7 linked regions of the Tribolium castaneum genome follow. The main gene of each other region encodes a partner of the protein of the gene in region 6 in a complex. Links are inferred from orthologs where the notes say so. Each region holds a gene or a part of one and is shown on either strand. Other genes may lie near its edges. The genes, in order: eIF3b, eIF3k, eIF3i, CSN6, eIF3g1, eIF3m and eIF3c.

The links.
Region 1: eIF3m (region 6) and eIF3b share a complex: the UniProt entries of both Caenorhabditis elegans proteins name them as parts of the eukaryotic translation initiation factor 3 (eIF-3) complex. The link is inferred for Tribolium castaneum from reciprocal best matches to the Caenorhabditis elegans genes cif-1 and eif-3.B.
Region 2: eIF3m (region 6) and eIF3k share a complex: the UniProt entries of both Caenorhabditis elegans proteins name them as parts of the eukaryotic translation initiation factor 3 (eIF-3) complex. The link is inferred for Tribolium castaneum from reciprocal best matches to the Caenorhabditis elegans genes cif-1 and eif-3.K.
Region 3: eIF3m (region 6) and eIF3i share a complex: the UniProt entries of both Caenorhabditis elegans proteins name them as parts of the eukaryotic translation initiation factor 3 (eIF-3) complex. The link is inferred for Tribolium castaneum from reciprocal best matches to the Caenorhabditis elegans genes cif-1 and eif-3.I.
Region 4: eIF3m (region 6) and CSN6 share a complex: the UniProt entries of both Caenorhabditis elegans proteins name them as parts of the CSN complex. The link is inferred for Tribolium castaneum from reciprocal best matches to the Caenorhabditis elegans genes cif-1 and csn-6.
Region 5: eIF3m (region 6) and eIF3g1 share a complex: the UniProt entries of both Caenorhabditis elegans proteins name them as parts of the eukaryotic translation initiation factor 3 (eIF-3) complex. The link is inferred for Tribolium castaneum from reciprocal best matches to the Caenorhabditis elegans genes cif-1 and eif-3.G.
Region 7: eIF3m (region 6) and eIF3c share a complex: the UniProt entries of both Caenorhabditis elegans proteins name them as parts of the eukaryotic translation initiation factor 3 (eIF-3) complex. The link is inferred for Tribolium castaneum from reciprocal best matches to the Caenorhabditis elegans genes cif-1 and eif-3.C.

The regions. Positions count from the first base shown.
Region 1 is NC_087399.1:10,626,930-10,630,225, reverse strand, and holds part of eIF3b (eukaryotic translation initiation factor 3 subunit B), read right to left. Parts: intron 1,758-3,296; coding exon 922-1,757; intron 1-921. UniProt on the Caenorhabditis elegans protein: RNA-binding component of the eukaryotic translation initiation factor 3 (eIF-3) complex, which is involved in protein synthesis of a specialized repertoire of mRNAs and, together with other initiation factors, stimulates binding of mRNA and methionyl-tRNAi to the 40S ribosome.
Region 2 is NC_087402.1:8,161,871-8,164,521, forward strand, and holds eIF3k (eukaryotic translation initiation factor 3 subunit K), read right to left. Parts: upstream 1,413-2,651; 5' UTR 1,306-1,412; coding exon 1,253-1,305; intron 1,193-1,252; coding exon 973-1,192; intron 921-972; coding exon 546-920; 3' UTR 501-545; downstream 1-500. Other genes in the region: Syx13 (syntaxin-12), read right to left, coding at 1,700-1,878, 1,932-2,338, 2,385-2,584. UniProt on the Caenorhabditis elegans protein: Component of the eukaryotic translation initiation factor 3 (eIF-3) complex, which is involved in protein synthesis of a specialized repertoire of mRNAs and, together with other initiation factors, stimulates binding of mRNA and methionyl-tRNAi to the 40S ribosome.
Region 3 is NC_087394.1:748,471-751,956, forward strand, and holds eIF3i (eukaryotic translation initiation factor 3 subunit I), read right to left. Parts: upstream 2,138-3,486; 5' UTR 2,013-2,137; coding exon 2,010-2,012; intron 1,894-2,009; coding exon 1,700-1,893; intron 1,322-1,699; coding exon 538-1,321; 3' UTR 501-537; downstream 1-500. Other genes in the region: mitochondrial carrier homolog 2, read right to left, coding at 3,486-3,486. UniProt on the Caenorhabditis elegans protein: Component of the eukaryotic translation initiation factor 3 (eIF-3) complex, which is involved in protein synthesis of a specialized repertoire of mRNAs and, together with other initiation factors, stimulates binding of mRNA and methionyl-tRNAi to the 40S ribosome.
Region 4 is NC_087398.1:15,420,553-15,424,504, reverse strand, and holds the start of CSN6 (COP9 signalosome complex subunit 6), read right to left. Parts: upstream 2,801-3,952; 5' UTR 2,715-2,800; coding exon 2,510-2,714; intron 2,459-2,509; coding exon 2,327-2,458; intron 173-2,326; coding exon 21-172; intron 1-20. Other genes in the region: uncharacterized protein C9orf85 homolog, read right to left, coding at 3,074-3,634. UniProt on the Caenorhabditis elegans protein: Component of the COP9 signalosome complex (CSN), a complex involved in various cellular and developmental processes.
Region 5 is NC_087395.1:17,787,696-17,790,665, reverse strand, and holds eIF3g1 (eukaryotic translation initiation factor 3 subunit G), read right to left. Parts: upstream 1,513-2,970; 5' UTR 1,396-1,512; coding exon 550-1,395; 3' UTR 501-549; downstream 1-500. UniProt on the Caenorhabditis elegans protein: RNA-binding component of the eukaryotic translation initiation factor 3 (eIF-3) complex, which is involved in protein synthesis of a specialized repertoire of mRNAs and, together with other initiation factors, stimulates binding of mRNA and methionyl-tRNAi to the 40S ribosome.
Region 6 is NC_087400.1:753,795-757,195, forward strand, and holds eIF3m (eukaryotic translation initiation factor 3 subunit M), read right to left. Parts: upstream 1,931-3,401; 5' UTR 1,801-1,930; coding exon 1,756-1,800; intron 1,699-1,755; coding exon 1,519-1,698; intron 1,474-1,518; coding exon 544-1,473; 3' UTR 501-543; downstream 1-500. Other genes in the region: CysRS (cysteine--tRNA ligase, cytoplasmic), read right to left, coding at 1-168; Sec15 (exocyst complex component 6), read right to left, coding at 2,002-2,128, 2,174-2,360, 2,408-2,549, 2,594-2,831, 2,875-3,066, 3,117-3,401. UniProt on the Caenorhabditis elegans protein: Component of the eukaryotic translation initiation factor 3 (eIF-3) complex, which is involved in protein synthesis of a specialized repertoire of mRNAs and, together with other initiation factors, stimulates binding of mRNA and methionyl-tRNAi to the 40S ribosome.
Region 7 is NC_087401.1:16,334,285-16,338,558, reverse strand, and holds the start of eIF3c (eukaryotic translation initiation factor 3 subunit C), read left to right. Parts: upstream 1-1,474; 5' UTR 1,475-1,606; intron 1,607-1,853; exon of another isoform or gene 1,854-1,856; 5' UTR 1,857-1,861; coding exon 1,862-1,951; intron 1,952-2,001; coding exon 2,002-2,766; intron 2,767-4,274. Other genes in the region: beag (protein Red), read left to right, coding at 385-1,124. UniProt on the Caenorhabditis elegans protein: Component of the eukaryotic translation initiation factor 3 (eIF-3) complex, which is involved in protein synthesis of a specialized repertoire of mRNAs and, together with other initiation factors, stimulates binding of mRNA and methionyl-tRNAi to the 40S ribosome.

The sequences.
Region 1 (3,296 bases), on a different chromosome or scaffold from region 6:
TAGAATAGTATTTGTTATGAATTTTATAATTATTAGCCTCCACTTTGTCTTGTTTCCTTTAATATAAAGGTCGTTTTATTTTAAAATTATGATTTATACTATTTTAATATAAACATTTTTGTTAAATGTTTTGAATTTTAAACATGTGACTAATTCACCTAATGATACTTTACGTAACTTGACAAAAAATTTGTCAAGTTTGTTTATTCATTATAACTTTCAGAGTACATGTAAAATAAAAAAAATTGAAAGTCAAAAACAAGACAGCAAATTTTCTAGTAAACATACCCTTCATTTGAGGAATCACAATTGAGATCATGCTTTTCAATCTTTTTAGGGTGTTCGTATTTGAAAGTGCTTTAAAAGTGCACCAAAAAGTCTCCCCTTGTTAATAAAAATTGACCTATTCAGTAATTTTCAAAATTTTCTTTTATTTTCTGAGAGCTCGTTTAGAAAAGCACCTCGAAAATAACGGATTTTGTTAATTGACCCAAAAGCTGAAAACCAAATTTGGTTAAAAATGTTATTAGTTTTTTTGATTCACGGTTCATCGTCTGTTGTGAGTTTAATTTGAGTAAGATTTAATTATTTATTAGGATAACAGACACAGTGCAATTTATTTTGGTTTATTTATTTATTGTTAAACAAAATAGTTCCCCTCCTCGTTGTTTCTGCACGAATGGTTTGCTAATTATTTATTGCCCTAAAGAAGCCCCCCTCATAAAAACTGGCAAAACGTTGGTAGTAATAAACAAAAAAACAAACAAAATATACTGCCCCTCTCTACTATGCCCCCCCCCAAAAAAAAAAACGATAATCTGGGAAAACCCCCGCAAGAATAATTCATTCAATTCAACAATACTTCAAATTACAGAGGTTCGGTATCAATTTCTAAATCAAGCTTAAAAGCCAAAAACCCACCTGTATCAACTTTGGTTTTCCAGTACGAAACGGACGTCGTGACGTATCTTCCCGTCGGATCCCACTCGACATCCGACATTTGGAAATGATCCGTCGTATTCATAACCAAAAACTCGTGCGTATCAACAAACTCCAATGATCCACCACCATTCGATCCCAACCCCGCCAAAACAATAAACTGGCCTCCGGGCGACCAAAACAGGTGATTACACGCCCTTTTCTCGAACTTTTTAAGCAGAATTGGGGCTTGTCCCACTCTCACTTCGTAAAAACTGACATTAATATTCGGCGATTCTCCATGTATGACCGCAAACTTCGATCCGACCGGTTCCCAAGCGAACGCCTGGATGGGTTCCTTACTCTCGACGCTATCCACCGGGATCTGTTTTTCCCTCATGTGGAAGATCTCGAAGTTGCAGTACATTCCGCTGTACTTCGTCTCATTTTTCTCTTTGCGAACTTTCGAGTAACGGTCGACTTTGACGCATAGATAATCGCCAGATTTTTGCCAGTGGATTTTGCAATCGGCGACGTTGAAGAGGTTCTTCTTGCGGATTTCGTTGCGGTTGGGGATTTCAAGGAGGGTTACGCTGGCTGGAACGTCTTTGTCTTCTGCCACCCAATAGGCGACGATGTTGTCGGTGGGCGACCAGCTGAAGTCGCGGATGCCGCTGATTTTGATTGATTTTTTCTCAAGGAGACCGAACGAGGGGGTTTCGTAGATGGAGAGGACGTCGTTGCCCACGCGTCCGAAGTATTTGTCGTCGTGAGACCAGCGGAAAATCGGCCATGAGGAGGGGCCTTCAGGGTTGAAAGAACGCTTTTCTTGGCCAGTTCTGCAACAATTAGTTAAGAAGTGTTTTCAAAAAATTATATAAACTCATGAGTTTAGACATTTAATTTTTTTTACTAAAAAGTCAGGTTTTAAAGTGTACACGGTTCACATTTGTAAAAAATAAGCTTAAAAATATCTGTGTGGAAATAGTATATTAGAAAACAAGTTTCATAAAACCAGTCTTGAAGCACGAATTCAGTTTTAAAGAATAAGTACTTCAAGGTTTTATGAAACGAGTTTTTTTATACTGTTTTGTGTAATTTGTCCCCATTTTGCACTTTTTGTTATTTTAATCGATTTAGGGATTTTTAAGCCAACTGGTAATGTCTCAATTTTGAAAGTGAAAAATTGACATACTTTTTTTTGTTTTATCCAAAGCTTTAACGTAATACCACATTTAACTTCAGTGCAGTTCTGCCAACCTTCGAACATAATACAAATAATATGTGCAGTGGCGGACGCGAAATTTTGGACGCCTATGACATTTCGTTGACTTAAACGTATGGAATACTCCATACCTTTCGACTACGAAGTGACAGAAGTGCTCAAAATTCCGTATCTGCTACTGTACCATTAAGTATTTAGTAAATAAAATTTGTAACTTTTTGTTTGAAAAAATTGAAAGAAACGGTAAATTTAATCAAAGATCAGGTTAGTTATGCCAATGATTTATTATTATTTAAATACAGAGTGTTAGGTAATGGCTTAGCAAAAATTTAAAGATTTATGTAAATTTATGTAAATCAAAAATGCATGGTTTTTCAAAGAATTTGTTCTGAACTTTTGTTCTCAAAATTTGAGAACCGCTGAACTAGAATTATAAAATTTAGCGTAAATTCTAATAATATTGGCAAAACAGCTGAGCTAAAATAACTTGTTGGTTCACTACGTTATTCTTCTATTTCAATTTGTGTTTTGTTACTAAAGTTTACGAAAAAATATTTTTTTTGCCAAGACCGGGATTCGAACCTTCCGCACAAATGAAAATGTTGCCTTATTTAATGAAAAAAAAAAATATAATAATAACCGCTAATAAACTACCATAAGCCCAGTGGCTCTCAACAGGTGGGTTAATATTTTTTTTTTAAAGAAAGTACGCACCTTTTGGAAAAATTATATAAGGGTTTTTAACTCGTCTGATCATGACAAATTCACTTACACAATATTGCTAAGCCATTCCCTAACACCCTCTACATAGAGGGTCTAAAGTACAGCATTTCCGTCAAATATAACAGACGTAACCAGGGTATACATAAGTGTTAAATTAAAATCAGATTAAAAAAAATTAATAAATATCCATTTCCAATATTTGGATTCCCATTTGAAGACTGTTAAAAAATTCAACAGTTCTATTTTTACCGGAAAACAACCCTAAATTTCGTAAAAAACATTGTGACTTGATGAAAACCTTAGCAAAAAAGTTTGTTTCGTTTAAAACTACACAGAAAAAACCTCTAGTTTTGACCAATTTATTTTTTTGTTAAAAAACAGTGAACAAAATTTTCATGAGGAATTTTGAGCATATTGTATATGAATTGCC
Region 2 (2,651 bases), on a different chromosome or scaffold from region 6:
CATCCGAAACAATCACACGAATACAGATTATTACTTCTGTAGGAGACGAAACAAGATATAAAATAAAAGGAAGAAATTTATATTTTCCTTTAAAAAGTCTGGGAGACCATCAACGGTTTGAGTGCCAAAGATATGGTGTCGCGAATTTTTTGATAGGAAATTTAATTCTTTACAACGTTGTTCCTTACACTTTTTTGTATCTGTAAGCGTATTCGCAGCCTTTTGAAAAATATGGGACACAGTGCCAAAAGTTTTAATTTATTTAAAATATAATTTACGATAAAATTTTTGCATTGTTTGTCTTACTATTGAAATTTAATCCCCAATTTGCTTGTATTTTTTTATTGCTGTGTGTTAACTATTACACAAATGCAACCATTTTTTCAAGTTCATTGCTCTGAAAACTCAAGTAACTGCGCTCTCTGGTGATATTAACGGAACTATCAAGGACGGGGACGATTTATTTGGTCGTTTCGTATCCTAGCATTTAGAGGTCCGTAGACACGAAGTAGTTTTATTTTATTATTGAAAAATTAAAATACAAATCAGCGACATGAAGCCATAATGGCTCCGACATTTTCGAAATCGATTTTCTCGTTAATATTTTTAGTTTTGATGTTTTCGTCTTGATTGGCAATGAAAATCAACTGGCCCTGTTCCTTCCATCCATACTTATTGACCCAGACTTTCAACGTAAGGTCATCAACGTCTCCCAATAATTCGGCCAAATGGGACCTTTCAATGGTCTGATACGTGATTCCAACTACGTGACACACAAATTTCCGGATTGAGTCTAAAAATCCGGTAATTCGTTGGGTCAACTCTGGCATTGAGTGGATTCTGGTCCAGAACAATTGAAAATCGCACTGTTCCAAAATGTCGGCCAAGTAGATAATTTGGTTGATGGGTTCTTCCGCCAGCTAAAAAATGTTTTTTTTTTGCAAAACAAATATATTGACTGAATTTATTAACCTGTCGTTCGTTCAAAAGACATTTGCACAAAATAAAATTCGTGTTTGGAAGGTTTGTCAAAGCCTTGAGCAGGATTTGACTTGTGATGTCGATATTGAAGCTACTAGGGTTAAATTGGTACAATTTAAGGACGGCCAAGTTAGCCTCTAAATCGTAGGCATTTTCGCGCGATTGTATCTCCACGTAGTGCTCCAAAGTCGGTAAATTATCAGGGTTGTACCTGAAAATAGAGGTTAAGTCCAATGCATGGTAAAAAAACGTAATAAAAGAATAACAATACCGTTCAATGCCTTTAAGCATTGCTGCCACAGTTTGTTTCATTGCTTCGGCCATGGTTTTCAATTTGTTTTTCACTAAAAAATGAGAAAAAAGCACAACTTTCTCAAAAAACACGTCTTAATGACGTTTAAAATTCAAAGTTTTTGGAACAGAGGCCGCTGTAAGCGATAGGGAACTGTTGTTTTATGTGTTGCCTACATTTTAACTACAGAGTGTTTCATGTCACTACTTATTTTTTGCGGTTCTCATAGAATTTTATGGATAATTATACAAAAAAACTAAATATCATTCATATTTTGTGATTAAGATAATTACATAAATAAATATAAATTCTATGATAAGATTAGTTGCTATAAAAAGTCTGTGTATACTGTATATAAATATATCAAGCAGTTATTCACCACAAAAACAGGTTTGAGTAATTATAAAGAAAAGTAATATTACGCAGCTACTTTTTAAACTGTACAACTAGTATTATAATAATTATTGCAACTATTGCAAGTCCTATCAGTACCATGAATAGCAACTTGCGCCTATACTTATTCTGATAACTCGCTGCTGTAATTAACTGTTCTGTCGCTTCTTCCACATTGCCAGTTGCATGGTCTATGCTATTTTCAATAGTATCTTAAAAAAAGAGTTGATTAATCTCCCGATTTTTTTAAAAGTTAGCTCAATACCGATTGTTTCCGCTTGGGCGTGCACTAAGGACCCCAATTCGCGCATGATTTCGTTAACATCAAGTACATCGGCTTCAATTTGTTTAATCCTAGCTTCTCTCTCCATGAGCATATCTTGCTCAAACGCCATTTCGCGTGCAAGCTGAGCTTGCCGTTGCTGTTCTGTGTCTTCTTCCGGCGTGTAGTCATTTTCTATGCTTACAGAAACCAATAAATGTGATTTCTGCTTGTTGGCCAAGTCCTTTTGTAAGGAATAGTAGCGCGTGATCGCTTCTTTAAAATTCTCTTCTAACTTTTCTACTTGCAACTGCTGCTGTTTCTCGCTTTTGGATACAAGTTGCTTGAGCTTGTGAATGTCTTTGCTTGTGACTGATGCGATCTGGTTTGTGCTCAATTGAGTGACGTGTCTAGAATTAGGGAAGTGATTGAAATTCCAGAAGGGAAAAGACTTACATTGAACTTCTTAATCCCTGATTGTCTTTTCTGGTTCCGATTGTTTTTAAAGCGTTGTCTAAGGTCTTGAGACTTGAGTTGATTGTGTAAATGTTTGTTACGACGCCATCGCATAAATTATTGAATTCGGGGGAGCGCTTACCGATGAAACCTACGTCAGTGGACGCAGTAGCACCGTAATTGTAGGGATGTTTACTCATTGTTGTCTTCGACGCCCCTTTTCGTTTGTGATTTGACGTTTCGTAAACTTAAAACTGAGGTTAGGAG
Region 3 (3,486 bases), on a different chromosome or scaffold from region 6:
AGTAATTTTTCAGTCTCAAAAAACACAAAACGTAACTAAATGCAGTAATACGGAGCTGAAAATTTCATTATTTTTGCTTTTTCGAATGTTTTAGTTACATTTCACAAGTTGGAAGCGCCGGAATAAAATTTACCAAAATTATTTTCGTAATTAAATTTCAGTTTCAAACGAACGAAAAACACATTAACAAGGGCTTTATTTGTGTATTTTCTGTCAAAAAGTCAAAAAGCTATGACAGATAAATCCATAAAATCCGGGTTTTTGTTAAAAAAAAACAGAACATAGTTAGGTATTTTATTTTGGAATACTCTGTATACAGATTAAAATATTTTTAGAACGTGCCTAATAAGTCTTACAATAGTAAACCTAGCGTTTCAAAAAAATTCAACTTGATAGCTTGCATAGAAAAAAAGTTATGGAGCACCTGTATAATCATTATTTAAAATCATTGCTCCGAAAACTTAGACTTGGACGTAATCTAGGAACAAAAACAACCAAACTGTTTTATTAAAAAATTTATTAATACCAGCTATCCATTTAATAATCGAAATTATACTCAAAATATGACGAATCGAAATTATGCACTCTCACATAACCATCTTCACCTCCTGAACTATAACTCTTGCCATCTGGATGAAACGCCACACTATTAATCGGCCCAAAATGCCCTTTAACCCTCCCAAACTCTTCTTCAAACACCATATGGAAAAACCTCGAGTCAAATTTCCCAACCCTTGCCGACGTGGTTGTCACATCCATGGCATCTTGCCCTCCGCCCACAACCACATGCTCAAAAATGGGGCTAATGGCAGCTGAATTAACCGGCCGTTCTGTCTTGTAAGTCTTCAGTAACATCAAATCAGCAGCGTCGAACAGTTTAGCTGTGTGGTCTTTGGACGCTGTCACAAACATTGTCCCGTCTTTATTCCACTGCATATCGTTGATTAAATGTTCGTGTTCACGTGTTGAACTGATCTCTTTGCCTGACTTCAAGTCCCACTTGATCAAATCCCCGTTTTCGTGCCCGGTTATTATAGTTTCGTCCAGGTTATCCCATAGGATTGACGAAACACGGGAACCTTTAATCGGGATGCGTAAAATGGGGTCGGCGTGCGAGATGCTTTCGTCCACGTTACGGACGTCAATAATGAAGATCTCGCAGTTGTGTTTGAGGGCTTTGTCGGTGGTGTACACTGCCATGTTGCCCGAGTAGCTAAACAGACACGTTCGGACTGATGAATTGGTTGAGATGTTCCCGATTTCTTTGCCCGTTTCACAGTCCCATACTTTAAGGGTGTTGTCACCGGCACCTGACAGGAACCTATAAAGTTTAAATAGTTTAAAAAGTAGCAAAATAGGTGATATTTCTGGTCTAAGTAGTATTTGATTAAATCAGTAAAAGCAAATTAATCAAAACTTGTACAGGGTGTCTCACCTAAAACTTTCGAGATTAATATCTGTTTTATTAATTTTAATTTTAAAATTACGATTTTAAGACTTCAGTTTTTGCATTAATTGGATTTTAATCTTTACTTTCCTAAATATCTGCATTTTAATTTTCATAAAAATACGTTGACAAATAACTGAGATATCAGGCTCAAAAGTATTAGGTGAGGCACCCTGTATATTCGCTACTGAGGCAACCTTATCGCGCACCCATTTGCTTTATTGCAGCAATAAATTTATTATTATTATTAACCTAGTGGTGGTCCAGTCGACGTCGATGCACCAGACAGCCCCCTGGTGGCCGTTGAAGGTTCCCAACCTCTCGCCATTAAGGGAGTACCAAACGTTGGGTTTGTTGTCCTTTGAGGAGGAGAAGAGGAGGTCGCCCTCACGGTTGTACTTGATTTGGGTGATGGCACGTTCGTGGCCGTGGAGTAGAAGGGGTTTCTGTGGGGGTTTTGAGGTTAAATTTAAGCGAACAATATGTGGGTGAAATTGTGGGGTAATGTAATGTTTTACGGTTGTGGGGCGTTTTTTTCGATTGATTGTGAGTCGTTACTTACCATTTTGTTAAAAAACTGGGCGTTTTTTTAAGGATTTTAATGATTAAACACGCTTTTTTTGACGGTTGTTTGACAGAAGAGGTGTCAAAATTAACTGTCATGGTGGGTTGTGCAGTGGCGGGGTTAAGTCAGTGCCGGCTCAGGTGAAATAACCGTATTGTCAAAATTAACTGATAAATGGCGTTATTGCCATTTTGGCAATTTTTAGCAGTTGGGAAAAATATGTAATAAAATTAACTGTGATTATTGATTAAAAACTCTTTGGGCCTTTACTGATTTTTTTTTTTAATTATTATCTTTACAAACTTAATCTTTTAAAATAATATTTCATTGTAGCGATTTTGTTTATTTTTGTATGAAATAAAGGGCTTTTGGCAGTAAAAAAATTAAGTAGAGCCATTAATTTAAGACCTTGGGACCTTACAATCTTTTTTTTATCTCAACTTTTTAAACTTTATTTTTTCAACTCCCTTTTCGTGTTTTAATTTTTGTAGGAAGCAAAGCCTGATGATGGGAATTTGATTGTAAAAAAAATTAAGTGTGGATAAATATTCCCTGGGGCCTTACCTATTTTTTTTTCTTTTTTTTTTGGAAAATATTTTAATTTTTCAAACATTATTTTTTAACCCCCTTCCCATTTATTGATTTTGTTCAATTCTGCAAGGAATATATAGCCTAGCCATGAGACTTTCGACTGTAAAAAAATTAATTGATGACAAACATTCTGCTTACTGAATGTTTTTCTTTTGTTTTTTTGCAAATGTTTTACTTTTTAAACTTCATTTTTTTCAACCGGCTTTCCGTACTGCAATTTTGTTTATTATTGCAGGAAATAAAGCTCTTGGATAGTGTTCGACTGTAAAACAATCAAGTGGAGGTAAACACTCTTTAAAACCTAACAGATTTTTTCTTTTTATTTTCAAAATTATTTTGAATTTTAGAACTTAATTTTCGCAACGCTTTTACCGTGTAAATAATAAATATTTTTGCTAGTAATAAAGCGCTCCAGTAGGGCCTTGGCTTGTAAAAAAATGAAGTGGGGACAAATATTCCTTGTAATCTTATTGAATTTTTTTTCTTTTTTTCTTTTTTGAAAACTCCTTGACTTTTCAAACTTTATTTTTTCAATCTCCTACCCGTGTAGCGACTTTGTTAATTTTTGCAAGAACGCGTCCTACTGATTTCAGCAACTGTAAACTAAAGAAACAAAATGGGGATAAACACTTTTTTTCGAAATATGTACAGGGTGTAATAAAAAACAAAGAAACTAAAGATTTAATCCAACTTTAACTTACCTTTATATCAAGTCGCACATTTTAAAAGTTAAAGCCAAAGTTTTTGCTTGCTTAATAAAAAAAACTCCAATTAAAATCTGAACAAGAATTTTATTGTAAAATAACACAATACTCTAAATATTTACATACAATTGCGTCAATTTGTAATGAAAAAAAATCCAACTACTGAATAACATGAAATT
Region 4 (3,952 bases), on a different chromosome or scaffold from region 6:
AATGCAGCCTGTGTACGAACATCAATGTTTTTGTCGTAGGGATTTAATTTAAGCAAAATTGGAGATTCATTAATGTCGCATATTTGCTTATGGATTTTAATGTCAGTGGTGTTGGGGATGTCTCCGGTGGTGTACCAACCAATGAAATCCATGTCACTGAACACCTGCTTGACTGCAATAGATTGTTAACAAACAATTTTTGTGTTTTCTAGTGTTTGAATTTACAATAAGAGTAGTTTTCTTATTTTTATTATTTGTATTCACCTTTCAAGCCAAGATCTCTGCGCTCTCTGGTGAACCACTCCCTTGCGAAATTTGATTTTGGCAGCTAGAGTACCATAAAAGATCTATTAAAAGTGTCAAACAGACAAAAAACGTTTGTACCTTTTCAAAAAAATTACATTTAAATTTCCCGCTATATGGCAAAGCAGCATTTCACAATTAACAACCAGAAAAACCAAAGGTCTTAACTTGAAAGGCGAATAATTGTCATAACTAAGCGCAAAACTTGAGAAAAATTAATAAAAAAAAAAATGAAAAAATATATACACCGTATTCGGTAAATGGACTGCCATCGCTTTACTGCGAACTCACAGGAGTCAGAAAAATATTATTCCGCATTTACATGAACTTTACTGTTTATAAAATTTTCAGCTACTGTATCCATACTTTACAGTTTATAGCAACCTTGTTAGAGTTGCCACCTGTCCGGTTTTCACTCAATACAATCCGGATATTAGACGATATGTCCGGTATCCGGATCAAATGTTAATTTGTAATAAATGTCCAGTTTTCTTAGGGTAATTTAAATTTTGTTGTATCTAAAATTAAAATTAACGACCAATTTTAAAAACTCTGCGATAGAACGCTTAATTCCATCTGTAATTTTTCTGAATTCGAAACTATCTAGTTGTTTCCAACAAATACTTTGAATATTAAAAAAAACTTGGAGTGAATTGGAAAAATGTAGATATACAACTTCTAAAAATTGAATTTACATTTTGCAAACAGGATACCGGATAGTTTTGCAAAAAAAATGATGCAGAAAGGTGGTTTACTGTTTATACAATGTGTTTTTAAATGATTCTCATCTAGTTAACTTTGAAATAATAAATACAGAATGTTAATATTCAATGTCTAAATGCCTATCATTAGTTATATGTTCTTTTACATGAGAAATTCACAGATGATTAGATGTGAATCATTCTAACACTCATTGTACAGGCTGCTGCATTTTAGATGTCGGAATAGGGGAACTCCAAAACTAAGAGATTTAGAGAAAAACAAGTGACACATTTTCTGGTCCGTTTTTTTAAAAAATAATTTTGGTCAACCGCATCCCGCTATCATCTTTTGTTTTCGACTTATCAACAGAACTTGACATTTTAACGAAATCTTAAAAAAAATCATATATATCTTCCTTATTATAAAAGATACACATTTGAAACACAAACATTATACAAGCACTTTTTACAGAGAATTTAAAAATGTTATCAGCGATTTTTTTAACCTTTCGTTTAGCTGTAATAAGTTTTATTTTTTTAAATATGAATTATAGGAGGCTGTAATATTTTTGTAAAGCTAATTTTTTTCTGATTTGATGTGTAATACATTCTTTTTAAATATTAAAAAAAATACATTTCGCTTTTTCTGTATAAAGTTGACACTAAAATGTCAACTTTTGTTTATAAGTCGAAAACAAAAAACGATAGCAAGATGCGGTTTAGACCAAGATTATATTCTCAAAAAACGGACCCAAGAATGTGTCACTTGTTTTTCTCTAAATCTCTTAGTTTCGGAGATCTCCTATTCCGACATCCAAAATACAGCACTCTGTACAATATTATTACTACAATATTTTTTATACTAATGCTGTTTGTTATATTTCTTGTATCAGTACATACTATTAAAACTATTGGCAATGTTTTTTTGGTTTTGTAATATTTTATTTGAAAATAAATTTATTTTTATTAAACTAAGTAAAAATTCTTAATACAAACGAGAAGTCAGGTAATAAGATGCCATTACCAGAGTATTTTATATACGATAATACGATAATATAAGAATGTAAGTTATTGTTGTTAGTCATTTTATTGTGGTGTCCAAAGCTAAAAAAAATCTGATGGTAACCCTAAACGTTGCCTACCTCCCACAAAAAATTTGCAGTCTGGCTAAACTTCATTATAATTTACAACAGATCTTATTCAATGAAATTGAAGAAATAAATGAGTCTCAATTACAACAAACGCAACCAACCATACAGAAAAAATCTTCCCTACTCTGATTAGTGATTACAAATTCCGTTGACCACACGGTACATACTTACATTGTTCTTCCTTCATGTTGTAATAATCCCTGTCGATAATAACATCCCCTCCAATTACACTAAATACCAGTTCAAATGAGTTCATTATTTCAATGTTTCGCCCCTTCTGTTTACCAATCAAAGCCCCAATCACTTAAAATGTAACATTATAAATAACTAACTATACTGTAAATGGTGTCGTACCTCGTTGGACTGAGCCCTCTTGAGCCTTTTCACGTGTCCAGTGCTCAGAAACATTCATTATCACCAAAGGGTGCAATGAACAAGTCACAGAACCGACAGCCCCAGCTGCCATCACACTTTTTTCCGAATCTTCCGCCGGATTATTTGCAACATCAGCAGAAGCCGGATTATCGACTTCCATTTCCATTGATTCTTTCGTACTCATATTAATTATTACAAGAAATTGAATCAAAATGTATAAATAACACCGCTAACAAAATGACAAATGACAGCGCTTTGACCCTTTGACAGATGTCAATGTCACAAGTGGCGCCAAACTTAAACGCAACATATTAACATATTCCTCAAATTTTATTAAATTCAAATACCTAATTAAATTTACTCATTAGACGAATTAACGTCATCACTTCCATTATTTCTGTAGGACGCATATAATTTATTACAAGATAATTAACCGAAATGACAAATAAGATCGCTTTGACAGAACGTGGTGCAACAAATAAAAATATTCGCTCTTTTATTTTATTATTTTAATTAAATTCTACAACCAATATATTACAAAATTTAATCATCCGACGAATCAACGTCATCAAAATCGCTGAAGTCGTCCAAGTCATCGTCAATCTTAAGCGCGTTGAGTTTGCTTTTCAAATCTTCCTTTCTCTCCTCGTCATTCGTCGAATCTTCCTCACTTTTTTTGCTCATGTACCTCAAAAACGTCCTCCGTTTGCGTTCCGGAAGCGTATGTAGCAAATTCTTCATTTCGTTGTCCAGTTTGAGTTGTTCCTTTTCGTCCGGTTTTGTTGTAATAACTTCTTTCGTTTCACAACATTTTGTACAAACACCAAATTTTTTTCCACAGTCTGTACACATCACATGATACGCTTTCTTCACGTTTTTCTGATCACATCTGACACATTTTCGTGGCTGTGTGAGCGGTTTGTATTTTTTGTACTTTATTTTCCACTCGATTATTTCCTTGCAACGGACACAAACGTCGCTGATTTGGATGTTGTTAATGTTTTTCGTGCGTTGACTTGTGTCGTGGAGGGTGTTTTTGAAGGCGGTTTTGTTTTGATGTTTTTGGGAGCGACTCCTTTGGGCGTTACCTTTTTGGGTGCTCATTTTTTCTGGAACGAAAACGTAGCTAAATGGGCTTTTATGTCTTTAATCAATTTTTTTGTTAAAAAAACTCATTTTTATTGATTTCTTTGCCTATTTCAATTTCAAACTCTTTATTGAATTGTTGAATGACCTAAAGATAAACACGCCAATAAAAATCAAAAAAGGCAAAAATAATTAAAATATGTTCGGCAAAACTTTCTCATTTTCTGTTTGTTTTTAGCAAAACGCTCGAAAATGACAAAAAGAATAATAAAATAAAATAAATCTCAAAAAAACTGACAATTTAGTTTGAAAACTTCATTTTTGACAAAGTTGTTA
Region 5 (2,970 bases), on a different chromosome or scaffold from region 6:
ACTTATTAATATTAAATAACCAGAAGGTTCTTTGATTGGTTAATAAATCTTTTAGTTAGTTTATTAACCTTTTATTTTATTTTTATTGGTTAGTTTATAACCAAAAACCAACCTTATTTATTTGCTAAATTAGCCAGCAATAGTTAATATTTTGCAGACTTCTTAAACTATTGTCTAAGATTTTTTACCTTTTCAAAAAAAACAAAACAATTAACTAGCTTTAGCAAAGTTCTATCAGGTATTGTATGCCTTTACAAACCTCTCGAGTTAAAAAAACTCAATTGCTTGGGATTTTTTATTTTTCCGAGAAGTTACCGTAATGTTTACCTACCGTTTACGCGAAAAATGCTAAGAGCTGATAGTTTCAACACTTGAGAATTTTCTATATTTTATTTTAATAGTGTACCTAAGACCTGTACCAATCTTCACCTCTGTTCGAATTATTTAAAACTGAAATGTCTACGTATTTTGTTGTATTGTAGGTTTGAAAAAACGCAACATTAGCTAAAGCATTTTTATTCAATACAAATAAAACTTATAAAATACATTTCAATTAGGGTGTGGCTTAGACCAATCCACCGTGAGTATAAGATGATCATAACCGTGTCCATTAAGCATAGAAATGGCTTTAGCAGCGTCGTTCTTAAACTTGAAATGAATATAAGCGAATCCTTTGCAATAACCGGCTTGTTTGTCTTTCGCCAAATACAACTTCTGGATCGGGCCAAACGGCTTCACCAGATCCTCCAAATCAGTCTCAGTGGTAGATTCACTAAGATTGGTGATTCGAATCGCCGTGGCGTCGTCTCTGCGCGCCATATTGAGATTATCGGACTTCCTGACGGCCCCATCTCGCAAACTCGGCGGAATGTACTTGGACCCCCCGGCCTTGCCCGCATCCGACCCTGACGGAACCGCCGGGCCCTTCTTGTCGTCGGGCACTTTGCCCCCGGCCAGCATGGTGTCCTTCCAGGGGCACTTGGAGGTCCAGTGGTCCCCGCTGCAGGTGCGGCACTTGACCACGTTCTTGTCGCCCAGAGCCTTCAGCTTCTCCAAAGCGTCGTCTTCCTGCTTGTTGTCCTCCTCCTTGCTCGTGATGTACTGCATGTACACGTCCTCGGCGACGATCGTGGTGGCCGGGTTCGGGCCAGGCTTGTCGTTGGCACACTCGCCGAATTTCTTCCAAGTCTTGCGGAAAGCGATCGATTTTGAAACGACGCGCTTCTCGATCTTGTAGGTCCGCACGATTTTCATTTTTTTGTCGTCTTCGTTGTACGCGTATTCGGTCACGATCTTGAAGCCGTTTTCGTACACCTCGGTCGGGGGCGGGAGCGACCCGCCCTCCAACTCCACCTCGTCAGCCCAGCTGGACTTGACCTCTTCGGCAACAGGCATTTTTAGCTAATTTTGAAACGTTTTTTTGGAAAATATGGTGCGACAATCACGTTCACAAAAGTTAACCTCAAACTGTCAAACAACAGACTCGCCAACCTTTGGGGAATTTCGTTGCAAATTATTTATTTTTGTTTTTTGCAATACAATTTAATTTTGTTGATATTTAATAAAGCCATGTATTTTAAAATTTATTTAATAAACCGATTAATAAATAAACCCCGACAAACGGGGCTGTCGTGTTACAAACCCACAAACACATAATTACAGGATTCTGTAATGAAATTTTAAAATTGGGAAACTTATTCGGAAAGGTGGCTTTGAAAACCATCAACTACTAGATTTTGTACACAGAAAATGTGTGACTTGTGTTTTGCGTTCTTTTGCCAATAGTTAATGTTTTGCATTCTTAAATTAGTTAAATTTGTGTCGGGAGTGTTAAATTTGCATCCGTTTATTGGCTATAATAAAGTTTTTTTGCTTGTGAAACTTTCTGTCGCAACTGTGTAACGCCGTAAGTATACCTACATTAAAATAGTTGATATTTTGGTTCATGTTGCTTCTGATGATGTGCAGAAATGCAGCTTATTATTTATAAATGTATTGTCGCCAATTGAGACATTTGTGAAAATTTAGGTATCCTTCTAGAAGGCTACGGCTACGATTCTGTTGCTTTAGAAAAAATCTTTCACAGCCTTCTAGAGAAGAAACATTCTGCGCCGCCTTAGATAAAAAAGAGAAATTGAGTTAAAATAACTTGAAATGTCTCTGAAATCCAATAAAAATACGATTATGTATAAAGGGAATGCTAAATTAGATCTAATTAAATTTTCGTCCATTCAGAGAAATATGTAAAAATTGAGCAACGTGATTTTAAAAAATTTGATTTTGCTAATAGAGGATCCCAGCTAAGGTCGTCCTGGACCGATCTGCTTACTGGATGAAACTTATTTTTTATCAAACATAATATCCAAAGGATGTATTCAATGGGTTGCCAAAGAAATGTGTTCCAAACTATAATAAAGGGAGCTAAAAAGAGTCGAATTTTGGTCACATTCCACAGTGTTCTACAGCACATTTTTTAAACTGATTTCCAGGATACATTCTTTTACTCGGGCTGTAGGCGAGAAAGTTTTTTAAAATGCGGTCACTGCTTTATCTAATTCTGAAAATAATTTTTAAAACTGAAAAAAAAATCAAAAAAAAATCTAGTCCTCTTTGAAAATTATTATAAATTATATAAAAGTGCAAAAAAATATAGGGTGTTCTATTTAAAAAAACATATGTTTGCATTTTAGCTAATTTCAAAAATACCCTATAATACCTGAAAATAATTTTAGGTGAGTCAAATTAATTTTCTAAAATTTAAGCCAATAATGGACTTTTTCACATTACTGAGACACCTGTATATAAATTAGGACAATTTATAAAATAAAATAAAATGAGAAAACTCATTTTAGCATTTTATTATTAATATTATAAAATTTTACTAAATAAACAACCCGGCGCCTCCACCATTTTTTAATTGAAATCATTTTTAAAATAAGTTATCGAATAATCTTTTTTAATTGAAATCAT
Region 6 (3,401 bases):
CATGTGCGAGGCGTCGTAAACAGTCGGCCCGCAACTGTACCAAGTCACTTTTTTGCCCGAAATCGGCCTAAACACCTCCTTCTGACGCGTCAGACTATTGAACACTTTCAGGACCGGACCGCCAGACGCCTCCGGCGCCGACCACGGGGGCTGCACACGTTTCGACATAACCTAACTCCAACCACCAAATTTGCAATTATTTAACACACCAACACCAAAACGCACTCTTCGGTGTTATCTAGCGGAAATTAAACTGTGATTGCATCAGAAGAAGGCACGGAATTCCCACAAAATCGGAATCAGCGGCCACAACACCACACAGTGCTGCCAACATGAAACGGCACCGGCGGCTCTTGACCCCGATTGGGGGCAAGGAACGTGCGACACGTGGCGGGTGAAACCCCCACATTAAATTATGGGGCGCAATAATGTAATTTTCGTAGTTTAAGCAGCAAATTTAGTTAGTTACTTGACGTGGTATTAAAATAAAAATCCCCAACTAGTTCCAAAATTTTTATTCTTAAATTAATCGCTACAAAACAATTATTGTTGGTTCAACATTTCGAGCTGTGCCGCTGTGACGTTCTTCATCCCTTCCTGGACCATGCTGAGGTTGCTTTTCCACGAGTGGAGCAAATCCCTCAATTGTTGCCACTGGGCGCGCCCAAAAGTCCTATGCATGGTGCTTGAGACGTAGACTTTCCGAGCGGCTTGGTCCATGCGGGCCCTCACCAGTTTAGTCTTCAAGACTTCGATAATAAACGCCTCGACCTCCTCAGCCTTGATCTGCAACTCTCTCTCAATCACGTCAAAACTGATCTCCGGGTTGGTCTCAGCGAGTTGCATGAAGGACAACAACCGCATCTTTTGCATGTTCTTCTCGTGGTTCAACCCCTGCGACGTGACAAACTCCTTGTGTTCTTGGTAGAATTTCAAATACGTTGCCAAATTTTCGCTGACAAAGATATTAAGCAAGTCGTGGATTAGCTCCCCTTCGAGAAATTTGACCGGCTTTAGGGCCAGTAAGGGGTCGAGGAGGAAGGTGTTGGGGTCCCCCAGGGCCGAGACGATGCACTTGATCGCGTCCTCGCGGGCATGCGAGGCGTTCTTATCGGTGTAGGTCCCCAAAAGTTCGATCATGACCTTGGCAGCCTGCTCACTGTGGTTGCTCTTTAGCAGCACCTGGTGCAACAACCGGTACAGAATCTGCAACTGCTCGCTTGTCGGTGGACACGGGGCGAACTGTTGCTTCAAATGCTCGATATCCTGGAACACCGACTTGACCTGGTCCGTTTTCTCCGCAATTAAAATCAAGTGGTAGTAGACGTGGTAGCGCATGGGGGACGTCTCGTCAAGCGACTGGAACAGCAGCCACAAGGCGCGCAGGCACACCAGCCCCAGTTTGGGGCCCTGAGCCTTGAGCAGCTTCTGGCAAAAGGCCAGGATGATGTTCTCGGACCGGTCGGCCGGGATCTAAAACACGTCCAATACCACGCGCAAATGATTCGAGACACTTACAAGCACCATGATTGAGACAATGTCGTTGAGCACCATCTCAACTTCGGGCTCCTGGCCCTCCTTGAAACAGGCCTCGCATACGCCGATTATTTTGTGTAGGTCGTCTTCGATGCCCTTGACTGATTTTTCCTCCGAAATTTCAGCGCCTAAACTTTTTAAGTAAATGCGGAGCTCTTGCGCCTAAAACATAACCTCAAAGTGTCATATGGACACAAAATGCCACAAATGGGCGCCTACCTGGTCCTCGGGACTCACGTCGATAAAGACAGGGGGCACTTGCATTTTTCTACAGTTAGTTCACGGTTTTTTGCAATTTTTAACTGTTTTAAGGGGAAAAACCACACCGCAAATTTGATGGTTATGTTGGCAATGCGCATGCGCAAACGCCAAGTTGTTACTTTTTTAAATTTGGTGGCCAAGTTGGCCACAAAAATTAAAACACCGAATAATTAATAAAATTTATTATTTAATTCAACAAGTCGGTTATTTGTTGGGCGTTATTTGGGTCAGCTGTCTCAGTTGTTTTAGGACCGTTTCCAGTAACTTCTTCTTGTCTCTTTCGTTCTTTTTCAATACTGTGAACATAGTTTTCTTATCGCCTTCTTTCAATCTACAAGAATCAATTAACTTGTGGTTTAATAACCCGATTTGTTACTTTTCGAGCAATACTATCGCATCATCTGGATTGACTTGCTTATATTTGCTGGTTTCTTGCCCATAGTCGTGGAAATAAGTGGGCCAGTCCCATGACGTGAACAGGTCTAAAGTCTCCCGTAGTTTGGTAAAATACGACAAGAGGACGTCCTCTTGTAGGCCTTTGACGGGCTCAGAGGCCGCAAATTCTGTAAAACTTGTTTAAATTTCCGGTTATCATTTTTCGATTAATTACGTTCACACTGTAGTAAATCTAAATTGATTTGGTTTAAGGCCCCCATGGAAATTTGCTTGATCTCGTCATTCATCAACAGTTGAAACATCGAATTGGCAATGTGTTCACACGCCGACTTACACGCAACTTGCGCCACCTCCGGCTACAAATCACTCGATAAAAAATCAACAAAACCAATCAACAAACCGGTAAATTGGTGAAACTCTGAAACGTCGTCTGGAGGAAAGCAATCAAATCGGAGATGTAACTAGAGGCGTGTCCTGACGGCTCACCCAACAGCCAATCATAACTCTCCAATTCGTAAAACTCGTTCAATTTTTGGCGCAATTTTTCGCAAATTTGGCGCACGGCGTCTTCACGAGCCACGCGGAACATGGCTGGTTGGCCTTGGACCACTCCCGTGGACACCCCTCGAGACTCCTCCCTAAATGTTTTGTTTTTATTGGCGGATTAATTTTGTGCCCTACCCTGTAATATTTGAAATAAACTGGTCCAAGTAGACCGTGGCTTCCTCCAAATAGCCCGTATCGATGATTATTTGGATAATTTCCTGAAGATTGATGTGCGGGCTACGAAACGTTGACGACAAACAACCGCTAAACGTCCGCGTCAGGAGCAAATTCATCGACTTGCGGATCATTTCGTCGACTTCCACTTGACTACAATTCAGTCACAGCCCACTTCGATTGGAATTATTCAACAACCAAACCTTAAATTCAAATCCTCGGAGAATTTCAAACACGCGTAAATAAACTCCTTGACTTGTTGGTAGACCTTGGGCACCATCCCCGAAAAGGGGAACTTGTGCGGGAAAACCACATCGTTGGGCAAGTCCTCGTCCCATGGAAACGACGACAAAATATGCTCATACTCCTCGAGATCGTACACTTGAATCGGCTGAAAATCCTCCTTCGAGAGAATTTCCCGAAAGACTTGCACCCATCTCTGCATCAAAACTTCGGTATAATGGTCACGTAATTCACGCACCAACTCC
Region 7 (4,274 bases), on a different chromosome or scaffold from region 6:
AAATCAGCAAAATTTTCCTTTAGATTCTCTTCTCTCGCTTATAAAAATTCTTGTCTAGTTTCTTTTAGAATTCTTCTTGTTCATTTTTTAGCATTGTTTTTTTACTGTCTTTTAGATTTTTTTAAAGATTTTTATGATTATCTCCTAAAGACTTCTTTAGATCTTAAATCCGCAATTTTTTTTATATTCTCCTCTCTCGCTTATAAAAATTCTTCTCTAGTTTCTTTTAGAATTGCTCTTATTTATTTTCTAGCATTGTTTCTGTACTTCTTTTTGGATTTTTTAAAGGTTTTTGTGATTCTTTTTTAAAAATTTTTACATGAATTTTAATGTTAAAATTCCTATTAATTTAATACCAACATGACTATTAAAATTTTATTTCAGACGATGAGGCTGAATCAGACATTCCAACAACTTTAATCCGTTCAATCGCCGACGTTCCGTCATTTGAACTCACCACAACCCTCACAACCAACGACATTGTCATAAATAAATTAACCCAAATTTTAAGTTACTTGCGCCAAGGCAACCGAAAGAACAAAAAAACCAAACGGGGACTCCCCGAAAGTCGCGAAAACGAACAACCGGAAGAACCCGAACCGAAAAAAACAACAAAACGTACAACCGGTGATGACTCCATCTATGGAGATATTGGTGATTACGTACCCACAAGAAGTGGTAAACATGGAAACTCGTCACGTGACCATAACAAACACACGTACTTTGATAAACAAGAGGAAGCGCTTGAAAATAGCGGACCGACTTTCAAAGTCAGTAAATCGGCACAAATCCTTAATAAACTGGCTCAAGAGCCTGAGGGATATGCTGAGTGTTATCCCGGATTGGAGGAAATGAACGATGCGATTGATGATTCTGATGATGAGGTTGATTATTCTAAGATGGACTTGGGGAATAAAAAGGGGCCGATTGGACGCTGGGACTTTGACACAGCTGAGGAGTATTCCGATTATATGAACCAGAAGGAGGCTTTGCCGAAAGCAGCCTTCCAGTACGGCCTTAAAATGGCAGATGGGCGCAGGTCCAGGAAGCATAAGGATAAGAACGAAAAGGCGCATTTGGACAGGGAGTGGCAAAAAATCCAAAGCATTATCAAGAAGAAATAATTTTGTTGTGTATTTAGGAGATAAATAAGTTAATTTAAATAAAAAATATATATTGGAAATTTGATTTTCTACAACTTTGTTCCTTACTTTTTTGTCTTACTATCGAGAGTTTAATGCTCTATGTGCCTGTATTTTTTCTTTGCTATCTGCTAATGGAACAAGTGCGCTCTCTGGTGACAATAAAGGAACTACCGAAAACGCGAGCGTTTCATTTGTACGTCTTTGGTATCTTAACCGTAGAATCCTTACTTTTGACACAACTTGAACCTAAATACCACCACCTAACCCTGGCTCTCGACTTAAGGGCCCTTTCGTGCCCAAAAACAAATTAATTTGCCCTTTTTTTACGATATTACCATAACACTACCAATCACAAGACAAAAAAGTCCCGATTTTGACAGTTGGCACAAGTTTTTGGCCATTTTGTGGTTACAATCGTGTCGGAAAATCTGTTAAGTGAAAAAAAGGCTTTAAACACGTAAGTTTTGCCTCTTTCACGTGTATTTTACCTTAAAATTGTGGTTCCGACATTTCTAACTATAATTTTGGGGAGTTCCGTCTCCAAACATGAACCACATGGGCCCCAGTAACTAGCTTTAAAGTAGTCTTAAATTAAGTTTTCGGTCTTCATTTGGCCCAAAGAAGCGAAAAACCGTTACCTAACGCCAATTTAACGCCTAGTTATTGCGTTATTTCACGTAATTTTTTTGAGGTTATGTCACTTTGTAGGTAAAAAAATGAGTCGTTTTTTCGCCGGTTCGGACTCAGACTCCGACAGCTCCTCCGAGGAAGAGCCAATTCAGCGCGCGCCAGCGCCCGTTTTCACCGTAAGTGAGCCCCCATGTAGCTTAACATTTTTTTAATGGCCCCCTTCTAGTTTAGCGACGATGAAGAGGAGGTCAAACGTGTGGTTCGCTCCGCCAAAGAGAAGCGTTACGAGGAACTCACTAACATTATCAAACAAATCCGCAATTACAAAAAAATCAAAGACATGAGCAGCATGTTGACCAGTTTTGAAGACCTTCAGAAGGCCTACGTTAAAGCGCTCCCAGTGATCGCGAAAGAAGAATCGGGGCAAACGCCCCGTTTCTTCACCCGTTGTTTGGTCGAAATGGAAGATTTCATCAACGAAATGTGGGAAGATCGCGACGGACGCAAAAACATGAGCAAAAACAACAGCAAGTCTTTGGCTTCAATGCGCCAGAAGTTGCGCAAGTACATCAAAGATTTCGAGGAGGATATTGCCAAGTTTAGGGAAAACCCCGACCAGCCGGACGATGAAGAAGAGGAAGAGAAACACGAGCCTGAGCCAGACACTCAAACTGAAGCGCCGGCCAAAGCTGTGGCTAAAATTTCCAAACAGATTGTTGATGATGAAGGGTCGTCTGATTCGGACGATTGGCCTAGTGATAGTGACTCGAGTTCGGATAGTTTTGATGAAGATGAAGGGAAAGGGACTATGAGGGAGCGGTTTTTGAAGAAAACTGGGCCGGCGCATGAAGATGATGAAGAACGCGATCGGAGGAAGGAGGAAAGGAGGAAGGAACGTAAGGAGAAGGAGAGGCGGAAGGTGAAGAAGGAGGATGAGGAGGATGGGGAAGGGGAGTGGGAGTTTGTGAAGGGGGGAATCGCAATTCCGAGCGTAAGTATCAGTACTTTAAATGTTTTTCTATTAAAAAAAATGAGGAATGACCTCTTTTCTTTTGTTATTCGGCTGTCTTGATTAGATAACACAGTACAATGAACTTTTTTTTTATAAAAAAGCTTAATAAGACCTTCTTCTATGACATATTAAAAATTTGGAAAGATATTATTTATGATTTTCTTGTTAGAGTCTGTCAAAAATAAACATTCTTGAAAAAATCAATAAAACAAAGTAAAAAATTCCGCTGTCTTGATTGGATAACACAGAGCAATGAACTTCTTTTTTATAAAACAGCTTCAGAAGACCTTCCTCTATAACATATTAAAAATCTGGAAAGATATTATTTTTGGTTTTCTTGTTAGAGTCTGTCGAAAATAAACATTCTTGAAAAAATCAAATAAAACACAAAGTTAAAAATCCCGCTGTCTTGATTGGATAACATAAAGCAATGAACTTCTTTTTTATAAAACAACTTCAGAAGACCTTTTTCTATAACATATTAAAAATCTGGAAAGATATTATGAACAATGAACTTCTTTTTTATAAAACTTTTTTATAAAACAGTTTCAGAAAACCTTCTTTTATAACATATTAAAAATTTGGAAAGATATTATTTTTAGTTTTCTTGTGAGAGTCTTCCAAAAATAACCATTCTTGAAAAATTCAAATAAAACACAAAGTTAAAAATCCCGCTGTCTTGATTGGATAACATAAAGCAATGAACTTCTTTTTTATAAAACAACTTCAGAAGACCTTCTTCTATAACATATTAAAAATATGGAAAGATATTATTTTTGGTTTTCTTGTGAGAGTCTTCCAAAAATAACCATTCTTGAAAAATTCAAATAAAACACCAAGTTAAAAATTCCGCTGTCTTGATTGGATAACATAGAGCAATGAACATCTTTTTTATTAAACAACTTCAGAAGACCTTTTTCTATAACATATTAAAAATCTGGAAAGATATTATTTTTGGTTTTCTTGTTAGAGTCTGCCAAAAATAACCATTCTTGAAAAATTCTAATAAAACACAAAGTTAAAAATTCCGCTGTGTTGATTGGATAACATAGAGCAGTGAACTTCTTTTTTATAAAACAGCTTCAGAAGACCTTCTTCTATAACATATAAAAAATTTGGAAAGATATTATTTTTGGTTTTCTTGTTAGAGTCTGTCAAAAATAACCATTCTTGAAAAATTCAAATAAAACACCAAGTTAAAAATTCCGCTGTCTTGATTGGATAACATCGAGCAATGAACTTCTTTTTTATAAAACAGCTTCAGAAGATCTTCCTCTATAACATATTAAATATTTGGAAAGATATTATTTTTGGTTTTCTTGTGAGAGTCTGTCAAAAATAACCATTCTTGAAAAATTCAAATAAAACTCAAAGTTAAAAATTCCGCTGTCTTGATTGGATAACATCGAGCAATGAACTTCTTTTTTGTAAAACAGCTTCAGAAGACCTTCTTCTCTAACATATTAAAAATTTGAAAAGATATTATT